Linked DNA regions of Astyanax mexicanus. The protein of the gene in region 1 interacts with the protein of each later gene in a pairwise test. Links are inferred from orthologs where the notes say so. Each region holds a gene or a part of one and is shown on either strand. Other genes may lie near its edges. The genes, in order: erlin1, sec22a and fa2h.

Region 1 (8,307 bases):
TAACTCTCAGGGAGTTTATTCCAAAAAACAGAATTTGTGCACAAGCCATACTGGATAGCTGCATTTGCTTCTCCAGATCCGGCCATCTTTAACCTGTTTAATTATACACCAATTCAGCACAACATAATCTCCTTGTTTCTACACCTATTCATCAATTTTCATCTCAATCGATCATATAGGACACATAATAGTTCTATAATTGAAGACTATAGTGTGTCTTTTTATTGCATACTGTATTATCATCCTTTCAATGGTCAGGACACTTCTGGACTCCTACAGATATTATTATTTGGGTGGTGTGTCATTCTTAGCACTGCAGTGACACTGGCATGGTGACGGTGTGCTCAAACACAGCAGTGCTGGTGGAGTTTTTAAACACTGTCCACTCTGTTAGACACTACTACCTAACTGTTCTACTGTGCAGATGTAAGGTTAGAGACAGAAACTCACCTGTTGCTGCACAATTTGTTTTGGTCATGCTCTACTCATTCACTGGTGTTCACAGGATTATTCTCATTCCAGCTGTGACACTGAGGTGATTAAAAACTCCAGCAGCACTGCTGTATCTGATCCACTTGTACCAACACAACACACACTGCCATCACGTCAGTGTCACTGCAGTGCTGAGAATGACCCAAATAATACCTGCTCTTTGGTGGTCCTGAGGGTCCTGAGCAGTGAGGAACAGGGTAAAAGGTGAGTAATAAAGTATGCAGAGAAACAGAAGGTCTACAGTGTCACTATATTGAACTGCAAAGTGCTCTTATACGATCAGTGGAGCTGAAAAAAATGAAGGTGGTCATAAGGTTATGTTTAATTGGTACATAATAAAATAAACAGCAAAAAGGAAAAGTGTCTTTCACAGTTACTGATTATTAGTTTAATGATTCATAACTCAACAATCCTAGAGTTTAAATGCTGAATACAATGTATCCTCAGTGAGAGTAAGTGAACCATGATAAAACAATTCACACTAAATGACTGACACTCACATGCTCGAGGTTTCTTCTTCCTTGTGCCACAAACAGAACATGCCAAGTGACTGTGGCCAGTAAAAAAATGAACTGAGCTATCAGACAACATGCCAAGTTGGTGATCTGCACTCACATCATAACAACAGCACATACACTGCACATGTCGGATACAACAGATTTAATATCAGTGTGTAAAATTCAGCAGTGAAATGTTACTAAAGTGGGTAATAGTCTTTTTGTCAGATTGATGGGTGTGTTATATGGTTGGTAAACCACAGGCACTAACGGTTATCTGCTAAGAGAGGAAGGCAGTACAGAGTCCTGCATCCAGTGACAACAGCTGCAACTCTCCAGATTCTCAGACTGACTGGAAGCACACCTAAACACACACATACACACATGTTCAATGATTTTCCTTAAATAATATAATATAATAAAATCATAATGAGCTATATTTTTTAATAGAAATAAAAATTAATATAAAAAAGTTTTAAGGACTTGCAGTAATATAATTAGCAAGAAGTTCAGATACACTCCCTGAACAGTTGAATATTTGAATGGTTGGGGACCTTCTATACCTAATTACTCACAATAAATACTTTTAGGCAAAATGTGCCCCCCTCAAATAAAAATATTATTCACAATTATTTTTATGTAAATGCTTATTTTTTGCAAGAGCACAATACAAGTTATAAGAATAGAATACAAACAAGCAACACATATCTCATGTAATTAAAGTTTAATACTAACAAATTATATAAAACCATTGTATCATCGTAAAAAAAAATGTGCACAAATACATTAGTTCTGACATCTCAAATTAATATTGTGGCAATGTATTAAAGATGAAAAAAATAATGTTTATTTAACATCCGTTTCCTATCTTGGTTGTTATCATTCATAACTCAACTAAACAAGATGTAAGTATTACTTTACCACAAGTCCCCTCGCAGAACATCCAGGACTTTGACAGCTTTGTCTGCAACTCTGGTTTGTATCTGTAATATCTGTCCCTAAAAAAACAGTAAGCGTTATTACAGCTACTGAAAATCGGTACACATTTTTTGAGATATTATAAGAGATCTGACAAATCCCTACACTGAATATAATACATACCGATAACATTAAAACCATTCCCAGGTAAAATGAATACCTGTTGTCTATATAAAATTAAACTTGTTAAGGGATCGCTATATGAGCACCAACCATAACAGTAACTACACTAAGAAAACACACTTATTACCCAATTTCAACATAACTGAAAGGATTTCATCAACCAGTGGCTTGTAGGGGACACATACAAGTAAAGTTTTTTAGGTTTTATTAGCAGTAGAAAGCTTATCTGCTACTCACATCCAGCAGATGGCACTTGGGCACAGTCTTAGACCTTACTTGACTGTGAAGCTGATGAAGCAAAAACACACACAGTTCGGTTGTAAACAAGTCAGAATAACTGTAATCAATTTGACTGTTTGTGCTAAATCCACACTTTGACTTTTTGGCAGATTCAGAACTACTATAGTGTCAAAGATATGTCCCACACACAGTAGCTCATCCTGGGGAAGATGTAAAGCACAAATTCATACATTGTTTGCTCTTCTATAAGCTACAGCTCCTTTGAAAGAATGTACATGATGCTCTTAAGTAACTGTATCCCAGTGAAACATAACATAGCTTTAAAAATGTTTTCCCAAGAGATGGGGCCACGTTATGGGTCTATGAAAACAGTATGGGAATTCATTTTTATTACCAGAGTGACATCTGCTGGACACAGGCTATACCTACCTGGGACTACTCATATGAATTGATTTACTTTTCTCAGTGTTTCAGATTGGTACAGATCTTGTGCTGTACAGTCTGCAGCAGAGATGTGTTGTCCATTACAGTAGTTGTCTGTACCTCTTTAAAACCACGTGCCCTTCACCAGAGTGTAGACACTACAGGAGAACAGCAGTGCGCAGGGTGGGATTATGGACTATAAACGCTAATATGTGAACTACACTGGAGCAGCACTTAAAGTGAACGGAGCTAAACGGCTAAAAGCACAAAATAAAAATAGTAGCTAACCATAAGGCCAAGATATTTCTTGAATTTTATAAAGTAGAATAAAGTATTTTGTAAAAAGTATTTTTTTTTTTTTTTACATCTAAGAGATTTTAGGGGGGGTGAATAGAGCCAAACGGCTAAAAACAAAAAACAGTAACTTTTCACTTTAACACTTAAACAGGTATTCCTTGAGTTTTTGCTAAAAAAAAAAAAAAAGAAAAGAAAAAAACTTTATACAGCAAACGGATTTTATGGGTGAATTTAGCGAAACGTTTAAAACTTAAAATAAAAATAGTAAATATCCACTTAAACAGGATATTCCTTGAGTTTTCTAAGGACAATTTTTTATTTGTGGAAAAACGTAAGATCAAGGTCTTTATAGATAGTGGAATCCCAATTTTTTTTTCAATGATCATATAAAACAAAAACAAACATACATACGTACAGATTTAATTAACAAGAGAAATAGGAAGAAGAAGAAAAAACTCACCCACGTATCTGTTTTTTTTTTTGTAGAATAGTAAGAATTCTGTATTTTGCTAAAAAATATATATTTTTACAGTGAAAGGTTTTATGGAGGTTAAGGAAATGGGGATAAATTGAGCTAAACGTCTAAAAACTAAAACTAAAAAACATTACTCTTTTAAGTTAAAGGTGCTGCATTACTGTGCTACTGTGAGATGCCTGGTTGGTTTTGATGAGCTACTGAAGTTACAGCCAGAGCACGTTTATATCTTGAATTTAAACGCTTTATAAATATGCCTGTGGTGCTGACACATATATTGTTTTGTGTTGAGAAAATTTGAAGCATTTATAAACTCTGATTTAGCTGCGCGGCTGAAGTTGGCTTCTTGTTCGCCAGCGACTTATTCGGATTTTCGTTCCACCTTAAATGTTACTGCAGTTACATGCGGCCACCTGAAGATGAGGGGCTTTGATAGTAAAAAGCCACATTTAAGCACAACGCTGTGCAAACGCTCTAAATAAAATAAAAATAAAAAAACACATAAAAACGCTCAAAGTTTAACTTAGACTTGTATAGAATAAAATAAAATATAATAATAATAATATATAATAATAAAATATTATATTATTAAATATAGACTTAAGATAAAATACTTCAGACGGTTAAAATCCTGAAAAAGAACAAAAAAAAACACTGTGGATATTTTCCAAAATGACCCTGTGAACATAGCATGTAATATGTAGATGTGTATAGGCATGTAATATAAAAATAATCAAATGCCACTTTGGATCTTATTCACAGGGCATTATCTCCTCGTTCTCACACTGTTTAAAAAAAACTGACTGTCAAACTTAAGAAACAATATATCAGACTGTAAAAATCCTAAAGATGAACAAATATTACTTTTTGTTATAATGATGCTGTGATTATGTTCCAAACAAACACTGTCCACACTGTTATAGATTAGATGGTCTTGTTCATCTTAAATTCATTGTTTGCTTTGTTAAAAGCGCCACACAAAGAAATAAGACTTTATTTTATTTTATTTCATCTTACTTTTATTTTGGAGGCCGATTCCAGCCGAAGCTCAGCCCCGCCCCGCCCGGGCCGCTGACGCTGCTGCGCGCACGGTGGGAGCGGCTTGGGGGGCATGACTCCGGTCCTCCTCATCTAATGAAAGTGAAATGATAGACTCCAGCCTTCTCTGACTAACGAATGACAGGTAACGCGTTTATTCTGGGGCAGTTTATCTTTTCTGCGCTATCGGAAGCCGTGTGGTTTAAAAACTGTGCTGGTCCGCTGACTGTGCTGCTTCGGTTATTGGATAACGGCTAGCTAATAACGACAGGCTTGCCATTCATACTAACCCTGCATTAGCTGCTAACGCTAACAAGCTAATGCTGTCTGTATTGAACGTTAGCTTCAGCTGTAGTAGGAATGCTAGCTATATAACGTTAGCTCACCTATGTAAAGTTAGCTACTGACTAGGTAGCCTCTGTAAGCTGTTGTTTTACGGTTAACTAGTGTTAGATAGTTAGTTAAGGTTTTAGCGAGCAGTTAGCTTAGCATGTTCGTGGCTGTAGTTAGTGAGCTAGTTAGCTAATTAGCTTCCAGCGAGGCATTATTGACACTCCCATGTAATGGACAGCTCCGCTCCTGATAAGCTAGTTTAGCTAATGAACAACACGGTTTGAGTGCACAACGAGGAAGTAAGTTACACTATCCAGAAGCATTCAGAGTTTGCTCTTAATTTAACTAATCAGTGTTTCTTTAGTTCAGCTATTTTGACAGTTAAATGCACAGCTACTTAGACAGCTGTATGAAACCCGCATAGATAACTAGCTAGCTACCCAAAATAGCATTGCTGTCTCGTCGTTTCCTTATGGACTCTGCGAGGGGGGATGTTTGACATGCCATCTCAACCCAGACCAACCTGACAAACACAGTAAGTTAGTTATTTATGAGGGCAGAGCAGGCTGTGCTATTCTGTGATATATTCTTAATACATGTGTTTCATATTAGCTGATGATTTCATATTGTCCAGAATTGGTCCAGCAGGTTTTGCTTGTTGCACAAATTGACAATCTAGGGTACACAGGTTCCTGATTGTCAGTGAGTTAAGTTAAGCTAGCTAGCTTAGCTACGTTCAGGTCACATCAGCAAAGAAGTACAGTAACTTCTGTCTTTCATTTTTGCTTTCAACCTGAATGTATGTTATATAGTTAGCTGTTAGTCTTCTGAGAATTTCCCTTTTGCACAACATTTTCAGCTCTTACAAAAAAATAAGAGACCATTTCAGTTTCTGTATCAGTTTCTCTGATTTTGCTGTTTATAGCTATATGTTTGAGTATAAAGAAGATTGTTGTTTTATTCTATAAACTATGAACAACATTTATCTCTAATAAAAATATTGTAATTTAGAGCATTTATTTGCAGAAAATGAGAAATGGCTAAAATAACAAAAAAAATATATTCCAGATTATATATTGATTATATTCCAGAGGTTTTTAAGTAAAATAAAAAAACTCGTTTTTTCTCCAGAGCTGTATATGCTGTGCATTAGGTATAGGCAATATGGCCTTAAATAATATCATGGTATTTCAGGGTGTTTCCACAAAAATATGACAAAATATAAGACAAAACATAGATTTAAAAATATATATCATTTCAAGAATATATTACAGCAACACAATTAATATAACAACAGAAATCTACCTCAAATCTCGAGTGCAGCATATTTAGTGCATAATTTTATTGCATAAGACACCCCTAGACATCCATCTCTAGTAATGTGATGATGCTTATTAAGCAAATGTAAATAGCGAAATGTAAGCATGTGAATGCAGTACAGTGCAGTTGTCTTATGTGTATTAGCTACATTGCTTAGACACATAATTACATACTATTAAATATGCAGCATGTGTTTTTGGTGTTCTGAAAAATAAGTATTAATACTTTAATGTTATGCATTCCATCATATTTTCCATCATATCGTGTTGTGTTGTGTGTACGTAATTTTAATCATACTGAGAGATTTTTTTAATTAGGCCTTCAACTACTGACTATTTTTGTAGTTGATAAATTTATTTTTGTCGATTAGTCAACAATTGTTTATGCCATATCCTCCATCACTTTAAAATTAAAGAAACGGCTTAAATGCCTAGAAGCTGTTTAAAAGTGGAAGATACAGCTATTTTGTAAGTAATTACATTATCTTTTGTGTTTGGGCACTTTTGGAGACATAGAATGAGTTGAGCTTTTCTGTTCCGAGAACTTTGTGTAGTGCAATGCTGTTACAAATAATGATTAGTCGACATTTTTATAATTTCATAAGTTTATGATTATCAATGTCTATAATATCCACTTATCATTGCAGTCCTGTTAGATATGATGTTTTGCTTTGTGGGGGACACAGAAAGTAGACTGTTTATATTATGGCAAAAAAGTAATATAGAATAAATGAAAGAAGTGATGCACTGTGATTGTAAAATAAATTCCTGACATTTGTACTGTAATATTTTCGTATGTGCTTCTCTCTTGCTTTATGTCCTTTCTCTCCCTGTCTACACCAGTCTTAATCTGACATGGCCCCAATGTCCTCATTCTCTTTTTCCCTTGCAATGAAACTATTATCTCACTCTCTCTAAGAGTCCGTCAGGCCACAAATGACATGAAAATATAGAGGCACAGAGGCAAATCAGCAAGCTGCTTCTTACAGTAGGGAGAATGTGATCTGAGGGTGAACAGGAAATGTCTAAAATTCTTCATGCGTGGAGAAATATTTGCATATCCTAAAAAAAGTATCTTTAGGTGTACACACTTACAATGCAAAATGAGTTCAGGAATACATTTGTTAACTATGCATAACATTCCACCAGGTGAGTTTCTGGGCGAAGGATGACGATGGCGCATGTTGGGGCAGTGGTTGCGGCGATTGCTGGTGTGATGGCCATTATGCTTCACTCTTCCATACATAAGATTGAAGAGGGTCATTTAGCTGTTTATTACAGGTAAGTATTTTAAAAATAAAACATTTAAAAACAACTATATCTTAAAGAACTAAAACTAAATGTATTGTCTTTTATAGAGGTGGGGCTTTGCTAACCACTCCAAATGGCCCAGGCTATCACATCATGCTGCCTTTCATCACTACCTACAGATCTGTCCAGGTAAGAGCAGTTATTTGGAATTATGTTCTTGTATTCCCATTTGAAAAGTGCATCAGACATTTAAGTGTAATTTAAGATAAAAAAAATGCTCATACAAATTTGACTCTGGATATTGCTGCTTTCCAGTGAAAAAAAACGTATCTCAATTATTTTATCTTCAAAACACAGGAGCAGTCCTTCCTCCCCCTGTAGAGTTACTATTAAGGAAATGCATTTTTTTTCGTTGCACAGTGATCATATACAAAACTGTTTATTTAAAATGTATTAATTTTAGTAATTCCATTACTTTTACGTTTAACTGTCACACGGATTCGAAAAATGTCATTTGTTTTGTATATTATTATTTTCTAATCATGTTCTCTGTGATCTAGACAACAATGCAGACAGATGAAATCAAAAATGTGCCTTGTGGAACAAGGTAATGTAACCATTTATACAGATATAGGAATAGATAGAATAATATGTTATTCATATGCATATGCTTACTTAAATGACCTTTTACATTTTTAAGAACTTATCATAAGACTTAAGGTTTGTTTTTTGTTTGCTTGCTTGCAGTGGGGGTGTCATGATCTATTTTGATAGAATTGAGGTGGTCAACATGCTGGTGCCATTAGCAGGTATGAACAGTACTGAAGTTCGTGATGTTTGA
Region 2 (8,307 bases), on another chromosome or scaffold:
AACGGCTACAATTGGGAAATCACAGTTTTCTGTATTTAATTGAGTTTTGTGATGAAAGAGGTACGACTTGCCTGCTTGTCCTGCTCTATTCTTCTCTAGGGGGTTATGTGGTGTGAGCATGTCTGCGTTGGCTTTGTCTGGTCTTCTTCAAATTCATCTAGGGTTTTGTGAGATTAAAAATCAACAGAAAATTGAAATTATGAATAGAGAAACTGGTTCTATGGGGAAAACACACATAGTGTGTTTATTATAGTCTGCTTATTGATTTTATATCCATCTGCTTCATTTAAACTGTCTTACAGTTTTTCTTTGTTGACACTGTGGGTCAGATTATACAGATTCACAACGAACCACCAGACTTTCTATGACATTAAGAGGAAACTAAGAGTTTCTCTCTTAAAACACGGCTGCACAATGCATATGATCTGAATCAGTTTCTCTGATTTTGCTATTTATAGGTTTATGTTTAAGTAAAATGAAAATTGTTGTTTTATTTTATAAACTACAGACAATATTTCTCCCAAATTCCAAAAAATATTCCGATACATGTAAAATCAGCCACTGCCTCTTTTCCATCTGCTGCTAATGCAGCATTGCTGAGTAGCATAACAGCGTGCTTGGAGGAAAGCGCAGCGACTTAGTTCTGATACATCAGCTCACAGACGCCTTGTGCTGATCAACATCACCCTAGGAGAGATGAGGGGATAGAACAAGGCCAATTGTGCTCTCTCAGGGCTCCGGCAGCTGATGGCAAGCTGCATGACCAGGATTTGAACCTGCTGATCACAGCTCTATGAATATGATGTGCCTGCTATGACCCCTGGATCCCTTCACTGTCTCTATAAGCAAATATATCACTGTTTTACCATCTGACACACTTCTTCTGAAAAGTACATTTGTATGCTGTCCTACATTTATCGGTCAGTCTCTGTACTGTGGGTAGAAATTCTAAATGCATTTAACTTTATGCTCTTAAATGGACTTGTCCAAGAGAAGGACATTCAGTTCTACTGATCAGCCCTAGAATACAGAGCAGATGTTTCAAACTCAGGATTTACATTTACATTTACTTTTACATTGTATTAACTGTAAGTCCTTATGTTAACTCACAGTTTGTATTGAACTATTTTATTCTCATTAAAACATATTGCAAACTGATTAAGTAAAAATATTTCAGAAAAGAGCATATCAATGGTTACATAATCAATGATTATCTCTCATTCTCTCCTTCTCTCACTATAATGCAGCCTAAGGATGATAAAATCTATTTCAAAAGCCTGTCAAGCATAATAAATCAAGCTAAAACACACACAAAAAGCAATGCAAACAAGTCGTTACAGCGTCTACCACATGAGTAAATACTTCAGTAATTTAATTTGCTATAATGATATCATCTGCTTCTTTAGGAAACAGCCTGCTGTAGAAAACTCAAGTACCAGATGTCACCAGTAAGTAAGATAATAATCAAACTCTTGCTTGAGGATCCAGGCCAACAGAAGAGAGAAAAAAACATCTTTTCCTTCCAAAGTGGTCCACAGCATGTCCAAATTTTTGTGGACATTTTCTCATCCAGTGTTTCTTCTGAAATAAGTGGTATTTATCAAACAAATGCCTCATGTTTTTTTTGCAGTAAAAGCCTCTACTCCAATAGAGACTTTGCACTAGATGCTTTGAACATTGCTGTGAGTATTTAATTGCACCCAGCCGAGAGAGCACGAGACAGGTCAGCTTCTATTGTGGGGGGCCATCAGCCACTCCACAGTCCAATAATGAGGGCTCTGATGTTTTACAAATGTTACAAATATTTCAAAGAGTAACTAAACCACCTGTTCTAGCTGACTCCACCCTCAGCTCAAATTTGAAAAATGCCTACAAATCAGAGGAGTAGTTTGGGAGGGGCATTGGGTGATGTATGGGTTTAGGGACAGGGCGGGGCAGAAGGGAGAGATGATTGGGCTGAGCAGTGTGCCTCTAATAGCAGTGAGACCATAGCCTGTATATAAATATGGACAGGGCGTCCCCATTCACTCTCATTATGGCATTTTGAAGCCAAAATATGGCCGAAATGGAACATGCCATCTTGTGTGCGCTCACGCAGTAGAGGCAAATTGGAGCCAGAACTGGCGTGGCACTGGCCAGTGCCTTCACCGTTCACCAAAACTGGCATTTTCACCAAAAAACTTGTTATTTAACTGCTAACCTGAGTTGGCTACTCTAGTTAACTAGTTAGCTAGCGTTAAGTAGTTAATGCTAGGTTAAAAACCTAACCTAAATAAAAAAAATACACAAGAACAAAGAACAAAGTATGAATACAAATTAATTGATGGAGGGAAATTATCCACATACGGAAAAAACTGCAGAGAACGTTTGCCTGAGGGTCTGTTACATAAGTTAACTGCAGAATAAGCCATTGCTTTACTTCAGATATCTCATTTTTAAAGTAAAATCCAAATGTCAGAAAGAGCCACAGTGGCGGTGCGCGTTCACACTCTCAGGCGACCTATCAATCAACTTGCCCTCAGCTGTCAATCAATCACCACATGCTACAACCCTTTAAATATCACGGAATTACTCCTATAAAACTTCAATTGAATGGAAATAGGCGGGGTTAAAAGTTGTACTGGAGCCAGCCACCAGAGGGCGTAAGAGATGTAGTGGCTTCACTTAAGCAATAATACACCAGAGGGAGTGCTATAACAAAGGCCGAGTGCCGAAGATCAGCACAGCAGTGCCAATATGACACGTTATAGCACGAACCTTGAGTGTATTATTGCGATTATACCACATTTCCATTATCACTGTTTATTGAAAGATTTTGAATTAAACCGGATGAGAAAATGCGATCGGTTTGTTTATAAACACTCCGCGAGTTAAAATAGTTCCATTACTACTTTAGCTGCGCTGTAAGCTCTGCATTATCGTCCATTTTAGTCACAATTGTGGAAATCTAAGCGTAACGTTACTGTAATTAAACGTAAGAGCTTTACCCTCACCCAAATAAATTTTTTTAGGAGGGAAATCTGTGTGGATTAGAGGTCCAGCGCTCGTTTGACTGAAAGAAAATGTTTTTTAAGAATTAAAGTTTTGTTTACTTCGGCGCCCCCCAGCGGTAAGACCTGCAGTATTACAAGAGTCCACCTTACATTCAGATTAAAATACCCTATATTAACTGGAAAATATATACACTTTTAATATAATAATAACAACAACTCTTAGCCTGATATTAGTGGCTAATAATGTGTGTAATAATGTCTATTTTTGAATAAATTTGGATTTATTTATTTGTGTGGCACCGCGTCTTTGCCTGCGCCCCCTATTGGAGACATGGCGTTCCTTCACTGTGCCTATGGAATCCAGCGCCCCCCAGTGGTGTTTAATGACATCGCATTTGGATTGTATTTGGCTGGTAATCGTTGCTAGGTTACCTGTATGTGGCGGAGTAATACATGAAGAGCTTCGGTTACAGTGCGTTATCGCCTAATAATGTCGCTCATAAAACGCCTCTCTAATTTTGGTATAATTTTCAATAACTGTCGTTCTGTCAATACTTATATACAGTCTATGGGTGAGACGCAGATTGTTGGACATCTCCAGGGGGGTGGGGTTATTGATAGATTGATTTGCATATTGTGAGTGTGCATTTACCAAAGCACACAAAAACGTCATCTTCGCCTATAACATAGTTGAACTTATGAGGGCGCTGCAGAGGTGGAAATAACTGCAACTGTAATCAAATGATATGACAAAAGTCTGGAAGAACACTGATAATGTATTAACACTGTAACAATGTAACACTGATGATGTATTCATTATTTACAGTTCCAGTTATAATACAAAAAAATAAGACAAGTATTTGGAGTTCTATAAAACATGAAAATCAAAGGCTTATCATATCACACTTTAATGCACTTGTCCAAGCCCAAAACAGATTAGATTTCTCTCACTGAACACAAAAAAAGAACTGAGGTAGAACAAACATAAAATTGCATATATTGCATTTTTGTTTAAAGTTAATGATATTGGTCTTTTGAAAATCTAGACTTTTTGTGTAAAGTTTTGTAGCTGATAGCTGTTAGTTTTTAAACTCTATTCATATTTAAAAAAAAAAATTCATAAATGTTCATTAATTATTATTATGTGTTAAATATTTACATTGCATCACTGTAATGTTAAATTTACTGTCCTTTATTAAGATATAGCTAGATATGCTGGTCTTTAAAAAAATATCCGTCATGTGTGTGTCAGGTTATGGTGCTAGTCAGAACAATGCTAAATGTTTACAGTTTCCTAAATTGAACCATCACATATTTATGAAATAATTATATAATCCACTACATTTTATTGTATCATTGTAATGTTTTATTTACTTTTTTATATAAAAGGGTTATTTTAAATGCTATATAGGCCTACTGTGAATATGCCTCAGAATATTGTCTAGGTAGGGAGCGTTGTGTTGTTTGGGACAGAGCCGCTCTTAATGCTGCTACTGCTGCTCCTCTTACCCATAATGCTCTTGGCTCAGACACGTCAGCGCTGGTGTATGGCTGCGTCCTCCCGCGGCGGAGCTGACAGACACAAACAAGCGGACAGAATGATGCTAAAGTCGGGACTCCAGCCGTTACCGGTGCCGAAGTGAGTACCGTCAGTGCGGGACGCGGGCCTGCTGCTGCCGGGGGCGGGTTCTGGTCCTGGTTCGGCCTGTTTGTGAGAGTCTGGGCTCAGGTTTGAGCTGCTGTCACCCAGCAGACAGTTATAGCTAAGCAGCTAACCAGCTAACAACAGTCTCTGTTTATACACAGTGACCGTAGACACACACATTATACTACATGATTTAGGTTAGACAGAGGTGTATCTGAAAGAGCCTGTGTTTGTTTATCTCATGTGGGCAACAGCTGCCAGATGCTGGAGAGATAGCTAGCTAATTAGGCTAATTAGGTTAATTAGCTCTGGTTTGTAACAGCTTGGTGTGCTAGGTTAGTTAATTTCGAGATGTTCAGCTTGATGACTGTGTAGTTTACAGCAAGTAATGATAGCTAACTATCTAGCTAGATAAACTCCCAGACAGTAGATTGAATATATTAATATTCAACACTACAATTGCTGTAAGTTTAACAGGCTTTATCCAGTGAATTAGACTAGCTAACTAACTAGTAAGATAAGCTGATATGCAGTAGATTAGCAAAATATGCTAATATTTATCACTGCAAATGCTTTAAATCTGTCAGGCTTATCCACTGAATTAGATTAACCAACTTACTTATTTACTTACACACTATCTAACTAACTAACTAACTAATCAGCTAGTTAGATAAACTGCTGTAAAATGCTGTAAATTAATCACGCTTATCCAGTGAATTAACTAACTAACTAACCAATTAACCAAGTAACTAACTAACTAACTAACTAACTAGCTAGATAAATTCCCAGGTAGTAGATTAAATTACTAAAAACTTCAAATACTGTAAATGTATTAGGCTTATCCAGTGAATTAGGCCAGCTATCTAACTAACTAGTTAGATAAGGTGCTAGGCAGTAGATTTGCAAAATATATTAATATTCAACACTACAAATGCTAAAAATCTATCAGGCTTACCCAGTGAGTTAGTTCAATTAACTAACTAACAAGCTGTATAAGCTGCTAGGCAGTAGATTAAATATATTAATATTCAACATTTCAAATGCTGCAAATTTATCAGATAAATGGTGGGATGGAAGATTATGCTTAATTTGTTTATTGTGAAAGATAATATGAAACATACATCATCATAACAGAGAAACACAACAAAAATACACACACACAACCCACCCTCTCTACTAGATGGTAGATTAAAAATTATATTAATAATCATCACTTCAAATGTTGTAAATTTATCAGGCTTATTCAGTGAATTAACTAACTAAGGAACTAGCTAGCTAGATAAACTGCTTGGCAGTAGATTAAATATATTAATATTCAATACTACAAATACTATACATTTCTCATGCTTATCCAGTAAATTAATGCTAGTTAGTTGTCTATGTTTCCTGCTGAGGAAAACAACATGACCAGCTCAAACTGATTAACCTTCTATGGCAGAGTTTTGCCCTTAGGCAACGAACACAATTTCATACCTTTTTTAATGTGTTTACTAAGTTGTTTTTTCTTTTGGGCAGCATTATAGAGCTAGAACACTTGCTGTAAAACATCTGATTCTGTTGATCAGTTTGTTATCAAAAGTCAAAAATATATATTTGACATATTCACAGGGAATCCCAAGCTTTTATCCTCCCAAAAAAACTAATGCCACAGAGGGTTACATTTAGTTTACCAGCCAAAGTGTATGTTCTCATATGATGTTCTCATTGATGTTTAATATGGTCTGCAAGCATGATCCACATGGCCAAGCTGGATAACCAGCATGTCCAAGCATGATCAAAAAATCAAATGCATACACTATAGCAGTCGAGAGCTGGTTAAACAGCTTTGTTACCAACAAGTAAACTGCCCAAACAAATAGTTTATTTCTGGATTCTGGATTACCAATTAACTCTATGGTGACAACTACATTCAAATGCTCAGAAATAATGGAATGCTCTCCTACACTCCTGCAGGATCCTGCTGTAAGATGTCTATGGTCCTGTTTGCCTCAGTGGTGCGGGTGAGGGACGGCCTGCCTCTCTCTGCCTCCACTGACTATGAGCAGGACAAAGGACTGCAGGAGACCAAGAAGCACCTCAAGGGTCTGTCCAAAAAACTCAGCCAGTTCCCTGACCGCTGCTCTCTCAAGACTGGACAGTACAATGTCAAGTAAGGATTCATTACTATCTGTATGCATCCCAATGCACTGTTGTGTGTTCTCGTTTAAGGGTGTAGAAAAAAACTGTATTCAACAGTGTTCCGCTGACTCTGAGATTCTGGGGCCTCATGTACTAAGACTTGGGTAAAATTTCTACAAAAATATAGCGTACAAGTACCGTACGCTTATAAAACTCCAGATGTATCAAACCATATGTAAGCAGAATGCCACGCACTCTCTCTTAGTACATCACAATCAACGACATATTGAGCGCACCTGCAGGAACACAACACTCCTCCTTGTCTCCGCCCTCAGTTATGCAGATTATAATATGCTAATTAGTATAAACAGGCCTTGGAATACTCTTACTAGAAAAATGGTGAAGATAAGATGCCATAAGAGGCATCTTGGGCCAAAGAAATCCCAATAATCAGAGTAAACACACTCTCAATAAATTTGGCCATTGGCAATATCTTCCAGTAATGCCAACACTGCCATTTACAACATATAAATCAATATAATCTAGATAGATGGATGGATAGATGGTAGATGATGGATGGATAGATATATGGATGGATGAATATTGAGATGGATGGATGGATGGATAATAGAGAAAGAGATTGATTGATTGATTGATGAATGGATGGATGGATGGATGATAGAGAGATTGATTGATGGATAACTGGGTGGGTGGATGGATAGATTAATAGATGTATATATAAAGATTATCCCAGGAACATTTAAACTCCAGCAGCATCATTACAGTACACAAATAATACACAGAAGGACCAGAGGAAAGGAAATAAACAAAAATGGAGAATATACAAAAAAACAGTAGATCCAGCAAAAGAAGTATTGCACATTATTATTGCACTTGGTTTAATATTATTGCGCATAGTCCGGTTTGTTATTTTTAGGTTTATAAGTATTAAAAGAAAAATGGCATTAACAGAATAAACAAAAAAAGTAAACACAGTATATACAAAAAGAAAAAAAACTAAATAACCATGACGATTATTTTGGTTATTTTCCTAATGCAAGATTATATTTGTTAGAGTAGTGTCAGGTTTAAGTATTTAGATATTATTTGCCCAAACTTAGAGTTTGAAAACTACACGTATTTCAGGCACAGCCTTCTGAAGTCAGCAGCAAAGTTTCTCTGTAAAATGAGTTTTCCTAAGTCCCAACTCTTTCAATATAAGATGTAAACTTGTGTCCTTGTAAGTGAATTTAATGGAAAGCAATAAGAAGTTCTCTAGTGACACCTCCCCTTTTTCTGGGTACGAAGCCGCTCAGTCAGAATAAACAGCAACACTTGAAAGGGAGCAAGGTGGAGTGGCGGCTCATCATTTAAATAGGCGGCTAATCCAATGCAAGATTTAAAGTCCTCTTTCAGCAGAGGCTAACGCAGATGTATGGCTCCTTTGAGGGCCTTGAGGGCAGCCGTTGTGAAGACTGGCACTCCAGGCGGCAGCTATTCATCACCCCAAACTTCATAAGCAGGCACAAATGAGTCGACTCCCCCCTTTTC
Region 3 (8,922 bases), on another chromosome or scaffold:
AGAGAGAAGAAGAAGAGCATACATTTTAGCATAAATAAAAGGTAATCTACCTTCTGAACACCAACACTCTATTAGATTATGTGAGTATGTGATCCATCTGATCTGCACCTGTCACGCCCACACTCCAGCAAGAACGTAGCAGACGTATCTAGTCTAGTATGAAGATGATCCGTGCAGAGACTCAAGAGAACTCGAGAGAAATGTCCAAACTATAGTGCACTATAGGACTATAGTGGTGTGGCCTAAGCTTTTGTCCTTAACAGTATTTTTTACTCTTACATTACTTTTACTTTTATACTTTAAGTATACTTTAAACAATTACTTTTACACTTTTACTTAAGGAGTAAAAGATTGTGTTGATACTTCAACTTTACAGAAATATTTTAAACCCTAGTATCTACACTTCTACCTTCAGAGTGATGAGTGACATCTTTGCAAATATTTAAATGAATAAATATGTTCAAAAAGATTTTCATGAGGTGTCCAATTTTATGCACATCAGAAAGTAAGTGTGTGCATTTAGAAAAAGAGGATCTCATAAAGAAACATGCACAAGCTCATTTTACACTTACAGGCACACAGAGTTAATACTAGACTTTAGACTGATAGAAGTTAAAAAGTAAACCCTTAATGTTGTCAAGGATGTCAAATTACAGAATGTACCAGCTTTTAAGCCAAAAACATCTTGAGTTAAATGTAATTAATTAAACTTGCAGTGTACCGTGACAATTCTGCTACTGGACAGAAAATGCAGTCACAATTTTGCTGGCATCAACAGGGCAGTGTTGTTCCTTTTCAGCAGTCAATAAGTGTGTTTACCTGTAAAACTCTATATAGCATTAAAATTTAATCCAAAAGAACATAAAGTCAACAGTCAGTGAGTGTATTTACCTGTAAAACTCTATATAAAATTAGAATAAACCCAAATAAACATAAGTTCAGCAGTCAGTGAGTGTATTTACATGTAAAACTCCATAGAACATTAGAAGAAACCCAAATAAACATAAAGTCAGCAATCAGTGAGTGTTTTGAGTTTTACAGGTAAATGAAGGTGTGGTTATCTCCAATGAAGTGAAGGGTTTAATTGGAGATAACCACACCTTCAGTATTTACCTGTAAAACTATATATATATATATATATATATATATATATATATATATATATATATATATATATATATATATATATATATATTACTATATATATTACTATATATACTAATATATAACATTAGAAAACCCAAAAAAACATAAAGTCAGCAGTCAGCATGTGTGTATAACATTATAATAAACACAAATATACATAGAGTCAGAAGTCAGTTAGTGTATTTACCTGTAAAACTCTATATAACATTAGAATAAACCCAAATAAACATAAAGTCAGCAGTCAGTAAGTGGGTACAACATTATAATAAACCCAAATAGACATAAAGTCAGAAGTCAGTCAGTGTATTTATTTGTAAAACTCTATATAACAGCAAAATAAACCCAAATAAACTCAAAATCAGTTGTCTGAATATCTTGTTGTTGAAATATTCGGGTTTGAGATCGTATTACTCTAAATAAAGGAATGATTGGATGGATACTGACAGATAGAAAGGCAGTTGTACAGATAGGAAGCTGGTTGTAGGGAAAATGCGACAACACTGCGGCCTGGAGGTGAAACTGAAGCACTGTACACTGAAACTTCAGTTCACATGTGAATGTGGTGAAACCGGCTCTGCTCTGAGGAGACTGGTACTGATGAAAAAGTGGGGGAAGAGGCGTAACACAGACCAAACATGTTCAGCAAGCTTTTCTTTGAAGTGCACTATTTTAACTTCTGGAGAAGGTTTGCACTGTTTTTGTTGTGGGGGATGTTTACTGAGAATTAACCTCCAACATTTAGCCTGTCCTGTTCAAACCTGTCGGATGTGGGAGGTGTTATTAACAGGCATGATACAGCAGACATGTTTACATCTTAATATACAGGTTTTGATGTTAAATACTGATTTACTATCAGCAAGAAAATTAATAATTTATAACAACAGAGATCAATATTGGTAATTATTATTGTCCTGCAGTGAAATATTAATATGTAAATCCTGATTCTGAAGATTTAGGAGAAAAAACACTGGAATGGGGCTAGGAGGAGAAAATGACTCTTGTGAAAAGAGCATTAAAAGTATGTTTAAATTAGGTAAAGAATACTAAACTTACATTTTCAGTTTAATATACTCTATTAAATGTTGTAAGCATTACCTAAATTAAACATATTTATGTATATTTTATATTATACTTAAAGTGTATTAAAAAATGATGTTTAAAAAACACTTACTTAAGGCTACTTACGTTTACAGAAGTTATATATTAAAAGCATTCAAAGCACATCCTAATGCTTTTATGTTGTATTTAACACATATATAGCTTAATTACAACTGAAATATATTTAAGTGGATATAAGTTGTTACAAAATAGTACATTTAGTATGTATTTAAATATGTATGTACTCTTCTGTGTTAATTATCCTTTTAAAACATTACTTAATGCACTTTTCTTTGACAAGGGGACCCTCATATTTTGTACCATGCACCTATTAAAATTAAAAAATAAAATCACTACCTTGATGAAGGCTGGACTTTTTATGGACCCTGGTGAATTATTTACTCTGCCAGTAATAACGCATTTTGACATATCTCACTGCCTTCCACATGTTTCCCATCAGAGGAAATGGCATCACTGAGTGCATGTCACATGTTTTTATTAGCATTTCCTTCAAATGTAATGGATTTTTATAGCAGAGATAAGAGGGTTGACCATGACATTGGGACAGACATAAAATCTAAATATAATTTGTATATAAATAATTTTTAATAAAGTGTTAATAGAGTAAGCACAAAAACATGACTTAGATACAGGTTGTAAATCAAGAGGTAAAAGCAGTTAATAATGTAAGGAGTCAATAATGTGTAGTATGTGTCTACTATACATCAAGAATTTGTATTTGTGCAAAATGAATGGAAATTGTATTATTATTAAAATCTGATTTAATAAAAAAAATGTTTGAATAATTAAATGTTTATCTGGATATGCAAAATTTTGTCCCAACTCTAAAAACACTCTTGTTTTTAGAGTTGTTAAACCAAAATACTCTGTGAAACATTTAGGTGCTCTTATCTGGGGTCTTGTTAAATTGTAGTTTCTGAGGCTGGTAACTCTGATTAACTTTTCCTGTGCAACAGAGGTAACTTTTTGGTCTTCCTTTTCTGGGGTGGTCCTGATGAGTGCCAGTTTCATCATAACGTTTTTGATGGTCTTTGTGACTACACTTTGGATTGAAATATTATTTTTTTCTTTACTTAGTTGAGTAGTTCTTGACATAATATGAATAAGAACATTATAGAGCTATTCACTGTATACCAACTCTACCTCTTCACAACTTCACAACTGATGCTCTCAAACTCATGAATCTAAAACATCACCGTAGTTTGAATGACTTTTGTACTGTACAATCTATAATGCACAAAATTTCCAATTAATAATAAAAACACTGAATTTAAGGCGTGTCCAAACTTTTGACTGGTACTGTATTAAACGCTGTTTAGCCAGAGAGGGCGTGCTTGCCTTGTCCAAAACTTGTAGACAGTATCAGGCGACTATGGAAAATAAGGTGAAAATGAAAAAGGCTATTATTTGGCGATTAACTGATAATACAAAATTTGTGAAAAGTGTTAATTATTGGTTGCGTCACTGTACAAACTTAGCTTATCTTTTTTTTTTTTTTTTTTTTTTTACATCAGCTTATCTCTGCACTGCTGGACTCGCCCGCTTATGTAAACACCTGTGCAGGTAGTGCGCTCTGCGTTTACAGAGGGGGGTTAATTAGCATACAGACACGCCCCCATATCTATGCCTATGAAGTCTACGAGGGAGAATATCTCCTTTAAATCACCACTGACTACATTTATAGACGTTTCCTCACTAAACACTAGAAAAAAATAGAAACATATGAATAAAAAACTCAAGACAAAGATTCCCTGCTGTGTTTTTGCTCCATTCGCGCCAGTGCGCAACAGCTGCCTGAACAAGTCCAGCTGTGTCAGAAAGTAAGTGTGGACTAGTTGGTTTGGGTAAATGTTAGCTTGAGATACTCTTATATCCTGGTAATTTAAAATACACATACGAAGTTTTTTTTATACACATACACATACAAAAATGTATTACTCTGTAGGTAGAAGTATAGATAGTAGGGTTTAAAACACTTCTGTAGAAGTTGATGTATCAACTCAAGCTTTTTACTCTTTAAGTAAAAGTGTAAAAGTACTGGTTTTAAAACTGCTTAAAATTTAAAAGTAAAAGTAATGTAATGGGAAAAATGCAATTAAGGACACAAGCTTAGGCCGAGCCACAGGGTTTCATAGTGCACTACCCTAAACAGTGCACTTTTTCTAAAATCCATAATGACTATAATGTTATATTTAAATTTGGGATACAATTGAAAATGCATAGTACAATGCAGATATAATAAAGAAGCTAAGTTGGGACATTTAACCCTTGCAGACCCTGTGTCCATTACAATATACATCGTGTATTTTCTTTTTTATATGTTTTTTATGCATATAACAGTAATTAAGGCCTGGTTTCCAACGGAATAGACCATTATGAAAAAGACAAAGTTTATCAGTCAATAAAACAGTAGCTTAGCCCCGCCCACAGCACTGGAATAAACAGCATCTCAGACATTAGGACAAAGACTGAGCTATTTTTTTTATGTGATTTAGAACACTTTTTAAAATGTTTATTTTACGGTTTAGGGGTGGTTTGTGAAATAAAGGAAATAAATATCAAATTTTAAATAAAAATGCCAAACAATGCAATGGACATTAAAACGCAATTAAATATTTTAGTTATTTGGATTTCATTTTCATGTAGAATTTATATTAAATATTACAGTCCATACAGTCCAGTACAGTCCATACAGTCCAGTGTCCATATTTCAGGTCTGAAAGGGTTAAATCACCTTTGACTACATTTGAAGGAGTTTTCTCAACGTTAAAATGTGGCTTAAATCTGGTTGAAGTAATGCACCAATTCTTCACCATACCTGGAGGTATGTTCATATTCTATTTGTTTAACTGTTGTTTTTTTGAGATCAGATGTTTAGTCACATTGCTAGAGGTGGTTAACGTTCTTTATACTCAGCTTTACTACAGTGATGTAAGTTTATTGCTAATAGAATTTTCTAGTTTTAGCGAGCTCTGGTTTATTAAAGTTTGAACTTACAACGTTGAAACAACATTTCCATATCAACGTTGAATTACTTTTCAAAATTAACACCAAATTCAACGTTGATTTGGTGTTATACAACCATAACATCAACATTTGATTAAACGTTGAAATGGCAGCTGGGTAAACACGAGATTAAAGTAGATAAATATGAATAAAAACTGAAGACAAACGTTCTCTTCTGTGTTTTCGCTCCACGCGCGCCAGTGCGCAACAGGTGCCTGACCAAGCCCAGCTGTGGAAGCTCATGCATTATTCATCACATGCTAATGAGGAGCCTGCGGTTGCTAATCGAGGGAGGGAGGAAGAGAGAGAGAGTCAGGGCAAAAGTCAGAAGCAACTTTAGTTGGTTGTGTTTCTCGGGGCTGTGTAGCCGGACTGTGCTGTGGGGGTCTGAAAACCCATACTGTCCTCCTCCTCCTGTTGCTGCTGCTGTTTTAAAGTGGACACCTTAATATCTGATACAGCTTGATAACTCCAAAAACGACCAGATGTCGCCTTCGGTGTCCCCTCGCTTCTTCACCGAGAAAGAAGTGGCGAGGCACTGCAGTAAGGAGTCCTGCTGGGTGCTGAAGGGGACGCGGGTGTACGATGTGACCGGATTCCTCCGCATGCACCCGGGCGGAGAGGCGCTGATCCTGCGCCGCAGCGGCAAGGACATCAGCCCGGAGCTGGAGGGACCTCCACACCGCCACTCCGAGAACGCCAGGCGGTGGATGGAGCAGTACTACATCGGGGAACTAGACAGGGACAGTACGGAGTACTACACAGAGGTATGTTCCTTACTGCTGTTGGACTGTTTTAATGTTTTATACGACTTTAAACGAAGCTTTTCTCTATTTCTCATCATTTACCATCAAAGTTACAGAATCAGAGACTGAACAGATAACTTAGATGTTTAACTTAAGAACTTAAATAAGCTACAATAAACAACACCCATGCACCATACACCTTGCTTATATTTACGTGTTTCGTCTTATTAGCATAGGCTACTTATGGTAGAGGTAGAGACAGATGGAGCAGAGGGCGCTCACCTGGGAGACAGGTGAGGTAGGAAGGTAGGTGGGTGGGTAGGTGGAGGAGGTTCAGGTAGGCAGGTCCACTGGAGACACTGGAGACAGTTTGGGTTGTCATGTTGAGCTGCTAAATATATGTCTTTTTCCAATATATTTGTTTTCCAAGGCTGTTAACCGACAAATAAATTACAACAAATAAACAAATAAGGGTTTTTAGGCATCTCTGGTACATTTCTACAGAGCACCTGAGGTGACATAATGTAAAAAATAAATAAATAAATAAATAATGGAGTGCCAAAACTTATTAAAGCATGGAAACCTGTGGGGACAACTAAATTAAGTTTAAATTAAGTTAAGTTTGGACAATTCAATTGCATTTTTAAATTTATAATACACTGATACTATACACTGATTAGTGATCAGAGGTGTGGCCTTATCATAAAAATCAGTAAGCCTCGGGCAGCCATGTTCCAGTCGCTTGTCAATCGGTTGTCCTTTTTTGCGGGACTAATGGTGGGTACTGCCTGCTGCAAACACGGAACACCCCGCAAGACCTGCCTGATGTTTTGGACATGTTCTGAACCAGCCCAGTTGTCTAACCATCACAGTTTTGTTTTGTTTCAGTCAGAGTGCCTCGGTGTCTCAGATTACGCTTGCTATTTTATCCTGCTTTACTACATTATCTTTAAGAACGGACTGTTTACTTGCTGCCTAATATATGCATTCTAATATATCCATCTGATAATCAATGTCTTTCAATTCACCAGTCAGTGGTGCTAATGTTATGGCTGATTGTTTGTTCGCTGTCATATTGGCCCTCCCTTTGCTCAGATCACATCGTTTCTTTATTATGAGTGGACTGCATGAACTAATCTTTCACAGTGTCATATAATAGTACATTTTTTTTAAATAACAACCATGTAATATATATATATATAAATATATATATATATATATATATATATATATATATATATATATATATATATATATATATATATATATATATTGGAATTAGATAATTAAGTTCCGACCACAATAAATTGTGGCCATGCATTTTGATCTTGTTCCCATGCCTTAAGCTGTAGCCACACTTATATAAAGATACACAAATCATATCAAGATGCACAAATATTACACATCACTGTTTGTATACTGTTTCACGATAGACTCAAAGTTGGTATCAGATCAGTGCTTTCTGTATTTCTACGCTAATTACGTGTATTTGATTATTTATAGTGCAGCTCTTTACATAAAAAAATGCTTGACTACCAGTAATTGTAGCCTACCTGAATGGAAGGAAAGGTGCTAATTGCGTACTTAGTAGCCCTATGTGTGTGTGTGTGTGTGTGTTTGTGTGTGTGTGTGTGTGTGTGTGTTTGTGTGTTTGTGGAGCGAGAGTGTAAGACCGGTCTGGCTTGTCTGTCCCTCCTGGGACATTTATACATAATCCACAAAATAGTAGCTCTTGGAAAGCGTTCCATTGTGCCCTGCAGGCTTTTTCTGCACGTCCATCCGTCACTGCTGTGGTTATGTTATCTGGCCTTCCTGATTGCATCTCAACAGAGAGCTGGTGTGGCATGATTTCTGATGTTATTTTGAGATAATGTGGTCTAGTTAGTTTGGGCAAAAGTATGCTTGAGATAATCTAATATCCTGGTTATTTAAATATAAAGTATTCACATTCATTGCTCAGGTATAAGTATGAATTTTAGGGTTTAAACTACTTCTGTAGAAGTTGAAGCATCAACTCAAGCTTTTTAATCAAGTAAAAGTGTAAAAGATCTGGTTTCAAAACTACACTAGGGTTAAAGTATAAAAGTAAAAGTAATGTAAGTGGAAAAATGCCATTAAGGACTAAAGCTTAGGCTGCACCACATGGTCCTATAGTGTACTACCCCCCTTCCCCAAAACACATGTGCCAATGGCCAAACAAACATGAATATTGTCCACAGATTAGGCTCCAGGTCTGTTTATTTTTTCAGACACTTTTTTGTTTTAAAGCTACCAGTTCAAAAGCTTGAGACTAATCATGGCAGCTGTTGCAATGTGATTTGCATTGCATTGCAATCTTCCAAATTTAATCTAATTTAATAATTAAATAATGCAATTTAAAACGAATCTGCCCAACGGCCCAACATTCAAGCCTAACCCTTAGCTGACACATCTGTTGCATACACAGGGCTACCATTAACAGTAATTACTCAGTGCTTCTCTAAAAAGAACGGAAAATCAGCTGCTTCCTCCTGATAATTGCCTATTTATTGTATTTATTGTATGCTTGTTTTCAACCAGAAAGCTTGTATCTTAACAAAACAAGGAACCTTCTTATCTTTAAAAGTGTATATTCCAGTTAGTGGTGTTAAAATATTGTAATATTGTATTGTTATGCAATATTTTGCTATGGAATACTGCATCAAATTTAAAACATAGTGCTTCTTTTAGTGTTGTGCTCTGATGTTAGATCCTACTTTTCTTATATTGATAAAAAGGTAATTTTTTATTTAGGTTATAAAAATTATAGAGTAATTTTTTAGATTATGATGTTAGTTTTTCTCATAAATTGTATTTAAACAATTGCAGGATATCGCCCTGCTTACACTATTGCAATATGCCACAATGGGCTTGAATCTGTATTGAA

The links.
Region 2: the proteins of erlin1 (region 1) and sec22a interact in binary tests that used the Homo sapiens proteins (3 or more experiments, as listed by UniProt). The two-hybrid records come from large-scale screens. The link is inferred for Astyanax mexicanus from reciprocal best matches to the Homo sapiens genes ERLIN1 and SEC22A.
Region 3: the proteins of erlin1 (region 1) and fa2h interact in binary tests that used the Homo sapiens proteins (3 or more experiments, as listed by UniProt). The two-hybrid records come from large-scale screens. The link is inferred for Astyanax mexicanus from reciprocal best matches to the Homo sapiens genes ERLIN1 and FA2H.

Annotation. Positions count from the first base shown.
Region 1 is NC_064414.1:38,373,858-38,382,164, forward strand, and holds the start of erlin1 (erlin-1), read left to right. Parts: upstream 1-4,600; 5' UTR 4,601-4,708; intron 4,709-7,364; 5' UTR 7,365-7,383; coding exon 7,384-7,496; intron 7,497-7,573; coding exon 7,574-7,655; intron 7,656-8,026; coding exon 8,027-8,073; intron 8,074-8,213; coding exon 8,214-8,275; intron 8,276-8,307. UniProt on the Homo sapiens protein: Component of the ERLIN1/ERLIN2 complex which mediates the endoplasmic reticulum-associated degradation (ERAD) of inositol 1,4,5-trisphosphate receptors (IP3Rs).
Region 2 is NC_064418.1:8,436,083-8,444,389, reverse strand, and holds the start of sec22a (vesicle-trafficking protein SEC22a), read left to right. Parts: upstream 1-4,502; 5' UTR 4,503-4,632; intron 4,633-6,591; 5' UTR 6,592-6,605; coding exon 6,606-6,787; intron 6,788-8,307. UniProt on the Homo sapiens protein: May be involved in vesicle transport between the ER and the Golgi complex.
Region 3 is NC_064417.1:7,284,429-7,293,350, forward strand, and holds the start of fa2h (fatty acid 2-hydroxylase), read left to right. Parts: upstream 1-5,581; 5' UTR 5,582-5,756; coding exon 5,757-6,038; intron 6,039-8,922. UniProt on the Homo sapiens protein: Catalyzes the hydroxylation of free fatty acids at the C-2 position to produce 2-hydroxy fatty acids, which are building blocks of sphingolipids and glycosphingolipids common in neural tissue and epidermis.